2 linked regions of the Mus musculus genome follow. The protein of the gene in region 1 interacts with the protein of each later gene in a biochemical or structural test. Links are inferred from orthologs where the notes say so. Each region holds a gene or a part of one and is shown in the gene's direction. Other genes may lie near its edges.

The links.
Region 2: the proteins of Rnf8 (region 1) and Mdc1 form a complex in vitro, tested with the Homo sapiens proteins (2 studies listed by BioGRID and IntAct, with this or other methods). The link is inferred for Mus musculus from reciprocal best matches to the Homo sapiens genes RNF8 and MDC1.

The regions. Positions count from the first base shown.
Region 1 is NC_000083.6:29,635,184-29,638,832, forward strand, and holds part of Rnf8 (E3 ubiquitin-protein ligase RNF8), read left to right. Parts: intron 1-634; coding exon 635-839; intron 840-3,649. UniProt on the Homo sapiens protein: E3 ubiquitin-protein ligase that plays a key role in DNA damage signaling via 2 distinct roles: by mediating the 'Lys-63'-linked ubiquitination of histones H2A and H2AX and promoting the recruitment of DNA repair proteins at double-strand breaks (DSBs) sites, and by catalyzing 'Lys-48'-linked ubiquitination to remove target proteins from DNA damage sites.
Region 2 is NC_000083.6:35,854,884-35,858,532, forward strand, and holds part of Mdc1 (mediator of DNA damage checkpoint protein 1), read left to right. Parts: coding exon 1-98; intron 99-216; coding exon 217-327; intron 328-2,579; coding exon 2,580-2,747; 3' UTR 2,748-3,649. UniProt on the Homo sapiens protein: Histone reader protein required for checkpoint-mediated cell cycle arrest in response to DNA damage within both the S phase and G2/M phases of the cell cycle.

The DNA.
Region 1 (3,649 bases):
AGGCCGATTTCTGAGTTCGAGGCCAGCCTGGTCTACAAGGTGAGTGCCAGGACAGCCAGGGCTACACAGAGAAACCCTGTCTGGAAAGAACCAAACCAAAAAAAAAAAAAAAAAAAAAAAAAAGATAAGCAAACACCTGTCTCCTAGGCTACCGTTTGTTACTTCGCCATGTTATCACACCAGCTATTTTAATTTTCATACATTTTCGTACCATTTGTAACCAATTCATTTTATGCTAAGTGTTACGCTTATACAGTTGAGTAGCAGGTGAGTTTTAGTCTTTTTTACACCTTTGGAAAGGAAGATGGGTGTGCAGAGAGACTGCTGTTCCCAAGCAGCCCCTAGGAAGATTGGGTGTGTCTGCCTCCTGCGGAAAGACCAGGTCTGTGACTGGAGTCACTTTGGCTGCCACTTTGGCTGCAAGTCATTCCCAGCGTAGTCTCCAGTCTGATGGGTTGCTTAGGACTGTGGGAACTGGAGGGGAGTGGGAGGAAAGGGAGGCAGAACCGGGTGCTGAGCCAGCCGGAGCAGAGCGGAGCCTCTGTGAGGCGGGGCTGTGGTGAGTCTGCCTGTGGGCCTGGGAGATTCGCTCTGTTGTGCTTGAGAAAGTAAGAGTGTCCCTTTCACATTGCAGGCTGTCACCCTGAACTGTGCCCACAGTTTCTGCTCCTTCTGTATCAATGAATGGATGAAACGGAAAGTAGAGTGTCCCATTTGTCGAAAGGACATTGAGTCCAGAACCAACTCCCTGGTTCTGGACAACTGCATTAGTAAGATGGTGGATAACCTAAGCTCAGACGTGAAGGAAAGAAGAAGTGTCCTTATTAGGGAACGGAGAGGTGAGTGGCTCTGAACTCCTACTCCCTGACAAAGGGCTTCCTTACTTAGCTACAGCAGGCGTTTTTACAGGGTGAAGTTGGACAATAGAGTTTAGTAAATGTTTTTGGAGTACAGGCAGGAGAAATGGGAGTATCTGCAGAGTTCAGGTAGCCCGCATAGGAAAGAACCGAATTAGAGTTAGTCTCTGTTGTTTGAGCTCCACCTGGTAGGTGTGTTCCCGCTTGCTCTGGAGCAAAAAGCTGGGCCAGAAAACAGTCAAATGGTTTGCTGTCTGCACACCAGGTGGTGCTGTTGCTGAAGGCAGCCGGCCAGTTAGAGATGGAAATACATACATAAGCTCTGTAAGGGCTTAGGGCTGGGGTGTAGTCAGCCACAAAGCCCTGGGTTCAGTCCCTAGCACCACTATTCACACACACACATTATTGCGTCCTGGTGGGTTTGATAACACATCTCCAGTCAGGGGACTTGGGGTGAGAAGATTGGGGAAGGGATGGCAAGTGTTCCTGAACTGTCCCTCCTAGTGAATATCTGTCCATTTAAGTCAGTGGTTCTCAACATCCCTAATGCTGCAACCCTTTAAAGTAGTCCCTCTTGTTGTGACTGACAACCATAAAATTAATTTGGTTACCACTCCATAACCATCTGTACGTTTGCTACTGTTATGAATCACAATGTAAATATCTGTTTCTGGTGGTCTTTGGGGGTCGTGCCCACAGGTTGAGAACCGCTGGTTTAAGTGATGCTGCCACACTAGGGGCTTGCTGTGTTAATGCCGCAGAAAGCCACTCCTTCATGTTGCAGCAGAAGATTCTTGGTGCAGAACAAGGAAGCTGCTGGGTATTGCATAGAGAGCCATGGCACAAGAGGCGGGGTGTCCATGGCCGTCGTGTTCTGTTGCTACCTTCTGGGAATTGGAAATTAACTCAGCTCCTGTCTGTGATGCTGTCACATGACCGGTGTGTGGGGGTTGGGTGGGGGTGGGGTGGCCTGGTTATACTCCTGAGCTGAGAGATGCTGGGCAGCATAGAGGCCAGATGCTGGTCATAGCAGTCGAGTGGCCCTACAGGAACCAGCTTTTCCAGGTAGGGACAGGGATCTGTTGCTGACACATGTGCATCCATAGTGTGAGACTGGGCTGGGTGCTGTGGATGCCGAGTGGGAAGGGTTCCTGGCTAGGAGTGTGAGCTGACCCTTGACGTGTGTGCTTGCTGCTTTCCTGATACCTGCTAGAGTATTTTGCTCAGTTTAGAGTCTCTATAAGTTTTACCTCTGCCCTTGGTTCTGGCAGAAGCCCATTGCTCTTCATTTCCACCTGTATTTCCATAGGAACATGACACTAGCCCTGGGAAGAGAGAGAGCATCTCACTTCCTCTCACGCTTACCTGAAGGTGTTGTGTGGCTTCAGAGGAAGGACCGCTTACGTGGGTCTGGGCAGGTGGAGATGAGAGAGGATCCTGTAGAGGAAGCCATGTTTATGCCAAGCCTTACAGCTTTCTGGTTGCTTGCTTTCCAAGCCAAGAACATGACACAGTTTGCAGAACAGCCAAAACTGGGAGGGGCCTGCCAATGGCTTGCTTCTGTCTTCCTGGGAGTCAGATTAGATAAGGAGCAGGCTATGACTTTTGAGCGGAAGTGTGTTGTCTGGGTCAGGGTGGGATGCCTATGAGAGTTTCTTTTTTCTTTTTCTTTTTTTTTTAAGATTTATTTATTTATTTATTTATTTATTTATTTATGTAAGTAAACTGTAGCTGTCTTCAGACACACCAGAAGAGGGTATCAGATCTCATTAAGAATGGTTGTAAGCCACTATGTGCTGGGATTTGAACTCAGGACCTCTGAAGAGCAGTCAGTGCTCTTAACCACTGAGCCATCTCTCCAGCCCCCCCCCCCCCCCCAGGAGAATTTCTTTGCCCAGCCTATGTTGTTGTTCAGCTGATGACTGGAAGAGCCCAAGTCCGTCTCTGTCCTCTTATGGAGAGTCACTTGCATAGACTAAGGACCACAGTCCCTCCTCCCTTCTCTGCAGAGGCTAAGCAGGCTATCCCTGGGCGCCTCTGGAAAGAGGAGTGACTGTTCAGGAAACCACGCCCTGTTGCACACCCTGATCGCAGCATGTCTGGCAGCCAGTTCTCACCGCAAGTGCAGCTTTGCGACCCGTTCTTTAGACAGGCAGAAGGTTCTGTGCCTTGATTTAGGAAAAGATGTACCAGAGCCACCAGCAGCGTTGTTGGGCTGCAGTCTGGGGGCCAGCTCTCTGTGAGTGTTCAGCTCTCTGTGAGTGTTCTGGCTGCAGTGTGGGGGCCAGCTCTCTGTGAGTGTTCTGGTGCCATTTGAAGGCTGGTTTATTCCTTAGTGCGTGGGAATTTCTAAAAAGAACTTAGGATCTGGAATGGAAGAGTGTTCAGTGGTCAAGAGTACTTTCTGCTCTTCCAGAGGACTGTGTTCAATTCCTAGCACCCACATGCTGGCTTACAACTGCCTGTAACTCCAAAGGGATCTGACATGTTTTGGCTGTTTTAGGCACCAAGAATGCACATGGTGTGCATATATGTGTAGGTAAAACACCCTTACATATAAATACAACAAACCAAGCGAATACACAAAGAACGCAGGCTCTGTGTTTGGGCAAGGGTTTGGTTGATTCTCACGCAGATGTCCTGTGCTCTCCAAAAGCAGGGCCTTCCTCAGCTTCCCTGACTGTAGGTTTAGGTCCCAGTGGGAGCAGCACCTCCTGACTGGTTAGCTGTTGGGGGTGGGGGATAGTAGGAGGCTGGATTAAAGCAGGATTAAAGAAGCATGCCTTGCAGGT
Region 2 (3,649 bases), about 6.2 Mb from region 1:
CTGATGACTACTTAGTGACTGATCCTGAGCAAGAGAAGAACTTTAGCTTCAGCCTTCGGGATTCCCTGTGCCGGGCTCGGGAACGAAGACTGCTGGAGGTAAATAAGAGTCTGTCTTCTGCACCACGCTGCCGTCCTATCCCCTGGAGCTCTTAGAGGTTTCCCAGTGCCTTTGGCCTGTCACTGCAGGTGTCTGTCTCCATCATTCCTCTCTTAGGACTATGAGATTCATGTGACCCCTGGCGTGCAGCCACCCCCCCCTCAGATGGGCGAGATCATCAGTTGCTGTGGAGGCACTTTCCTGCCCAGCATGCCTCACTCCTATAAGGTATGGCAAGCATAGGAAGTGGGAACAAGAGAGGGTTGGAGGAATGATGGAGGGAAAGAGGAACAAGAATGAGGGAAGAGAGGAAGAGGTGCTGGCCTCAAAGGGACTCGGTGTTGTTGTTTTTTTGTTTTTGTCTTGTTTTGGTGTCAGGTACTTATTTTTTTATTTTTTATTAGATATTTTCTTTATTTACATTTCAAATGCTATCCCAAAAGTTTCCTATACCCCTTCCCCACCCCAGCCTCAGTGTTGTTTTTAAGGTTTAAACATTTTCAAGCAGCCAGATATGGTGCTCCACATTGGCAGTTTAGCACATGGGACTTGAAGCATGAGGAGAAGTTCTAGGTATATACTCATGGAAGCCCCTGGGACTGCGTGTCCCTTTCTTTTTTTTTTTTTTTTTTTTTTTTTTTTTTTGGTTTTTCGAGACAGGGTTTCTCTGTAGCCCTGGCTGTCCTGTCACTTTGTAGACCAGGTCACTTTGTAGACCAGGCTGGCCTTGAACTCAAGATCCACCTGCCTCTGCCTCCTGCATGTCCCTTTCTTACTCACCCCCACCCCCACCCTAACATTTTTTTAAGTCTATTTTACACACAGAGAAGAGGGGCTGGAGAGACAGCTGTGGTTAGGAGTACTTGCTGCTCTAGCATGAGCACAAGCGTTTGCATCCATCACCCACAGAAGGGCTCACAAGCATTGTAACTCCAGCAGCCAGGAAGTCAGAAGCCTTTTTGGCTTTCTTTTCGTTTAAGTGACTGATTAATTTATTAAGATTTAGTTATTCGGGGCTGTAGCGAACGGGGGCCAGAGCAAGTGGTCTGGAGCAAGAGGGAGAAGGAAAGGGGGGCTGGGAGGGAAAAAATTATTTATTGAGCTGGCCATGGTGATGATCCCAGCACTCAGGAGGCAGGGGCAGGAAGATCTCTGAATTTGAGGCCATCCTGGTCTACATAGCAAGTTCCAGGACAGCCAGAACTGTGTCTCAAAGAAAAAAAAAAAGGAAACAAAGAAAAAGACTTATTTTGTGTGTGTAGATGTTTTGCCTGAACGTATGTCGGCACTATTTGTGCACCTTGTGCTGGTAGAGGGCAGAAGAGAGTAGAGGGTATTGGATCCCCTGAGACTGGAGTTACATATTGTTGGGAGCTACCATGTAGATGGTGGGAAGCAAGCTTGGGTCAAAAATAGATAGATATACTTTGCTTTGCGCCCATAGTTAATAGTTTCAATAATGTTACACTTCTTTCTTTTTTTTTCCTTCCTTCCTTCCCTTTTTTTTTTTTTTTTTCTGTAGTCAGGCAACCTTTTTTTGTTTGTTTGTTTGTTTGTTTGTTTTTTGAGACAGGGTTTCTCTTTATAGCCCTGGCTGTCCTGGAACTCACTCTGTAGACCAGGCTGGCCTCGAACTCAGAAATCCGCCTGCCTCCGCTTCCCGAGTGCTGGGATTAAAGGCGTGCACCACCACGCCCAGCTTCCAGGCAACCTTTTAATGCAGTTCCTTATGTTATGGTGACCCCCAATCATAATATTTATTTATTTATTTATTTATTTATTGTTTTTTTTTTCGAGACTGGGTTTCTCTGTGTAGAGCTCTGGCTGTCCTGGAACTCACTCTGTAGACCAGGTTAGCCTCAAACTCAGAAATCCGCCTGCCTCTGCCTCCCAAGTGCTGGGATTAAAGGCGTGCACCACCACCACCCAGCTCCATGTATTTATTATATTTTCTGATTCTCTATTGTGTAGTGCCCCTCGCCCTCACTCCACCCCCTGCCTTTGTAGGAATTGACTTCCAGCAGGGAGGAGACCAGCTGTCCCTGAGAATATTCCTCAGTCAGGACTTTCCTGTGTTCCCTTGTTTGCATCGTTTTTATCTTATCCCACTATATTCTGTGTCTCATGCAGATTATGATAAAAGCTGCAGTGGGGGCTGGGAATGGAGCTTGGTCGGTAGCCTGTTTCCTAGCATATACAGAACTGGGCTTGATACCTAATACACATAATACCTACCTGTAATCCCAGCACTCTGGAAATGGGGACAAGAGGATCAGAAGCTCAAGGTTATCTTTAACTATGTAGTAAATTGCAGGCCAGCTTGGGTTAGTTATATGAAACCCTTTTCAAAGACAGGGGAGGGTAGGTTGAACGTTTGCGTGAGTGTGTTGTGTGTGTGTAGGTTCAGTTCTGAAACAGCTTAATGGGTCCTGCATCTGTTTCAAAGTTCCTTCCTAACCGTCTTTGCTGTCTCTTCACAGCTTCACCGAGTCATCATAACTTGCACTGAAGACCTACCACGCTGTGCTATTCCATCCCGCCTGGGGCTACCCCTCCTCTCTCCTGAGTTCCTCCTGACTGGAGTGCTGAAGCAGGAAGCCACACCAGAGGCCTTTGTTCTCTCCAATTTGGAAATGTCATCTACCTAAAAAAATATGTACCTTTACCTTCTCAGACCATCGAACAGTCCTAGAAAACACTTGGAAAAAGGAACACACACATACACAATTAAGACGGGGCAAGGTGGTTCACACCTTTAATCTCAGCACTTGGGAGGCAGAAGTAATCATATTTTTCTGAGTTCTGGGCTAGCCAGAGGTACATAATGAGACCCCATCTCAAAAACCAAATCAAACAACAAACCTCAGGGTTTCACAAAGGCCTAAGGTATATTGTATCATCGTAACTGTTTGGGGAATGTGAATAAGGCCTAAAATGTTTTGGGGAAAAAAGGGAACTTTTTTCCTAAGATAGCCAGTTTTTTAGTTGGCTCACCTGAGCTGGGTATGGCTCTCTACCGAGCACCTGCCATCTGCCCAGCTGTGCTCCGAGGAAGCTGCTCCAGGCTCAGTGCCCTGACTCTACCTCCTGTCCAGAAGCCAGCATTTTCTCTTTACTTCCCGGGGTTCTACTCAACATGAAGCAGCTCCCAGGAGTGCTTGGTTGAGAAGATGAGGGTAGCTCATGGGTGTGGCTAGGAAAGGCTTTAGTTTTGCTGTACTTGCTCTGCTTTGCAGTGTTGGCAGTTAGCTGTGGTCATCTCCAGTAGCTCAGTGCTCACTCTGCCTTCTTGGTGGCAGGTTTCTGTGTGGAGACACAATGGATTTGAACTTGCACTTCATTTATTATTATTATTAATTTAGAGTAAATTGTATTTGTTTTTTAAAGTTGGCTACTTTCCAGGATGTGGAGAAAGTAGAACTCATGAATACTGCTGGTGTTTGGCTTGTCCTCTGCAGTAAACAGTAGCAAAGTTATTTCAAAGTAAGCAGAGCTAGCCGTGGGCATTGCCTGTAGCCCCAGTGCTTAGGAGGCTGAAGTAGGAAGCTCA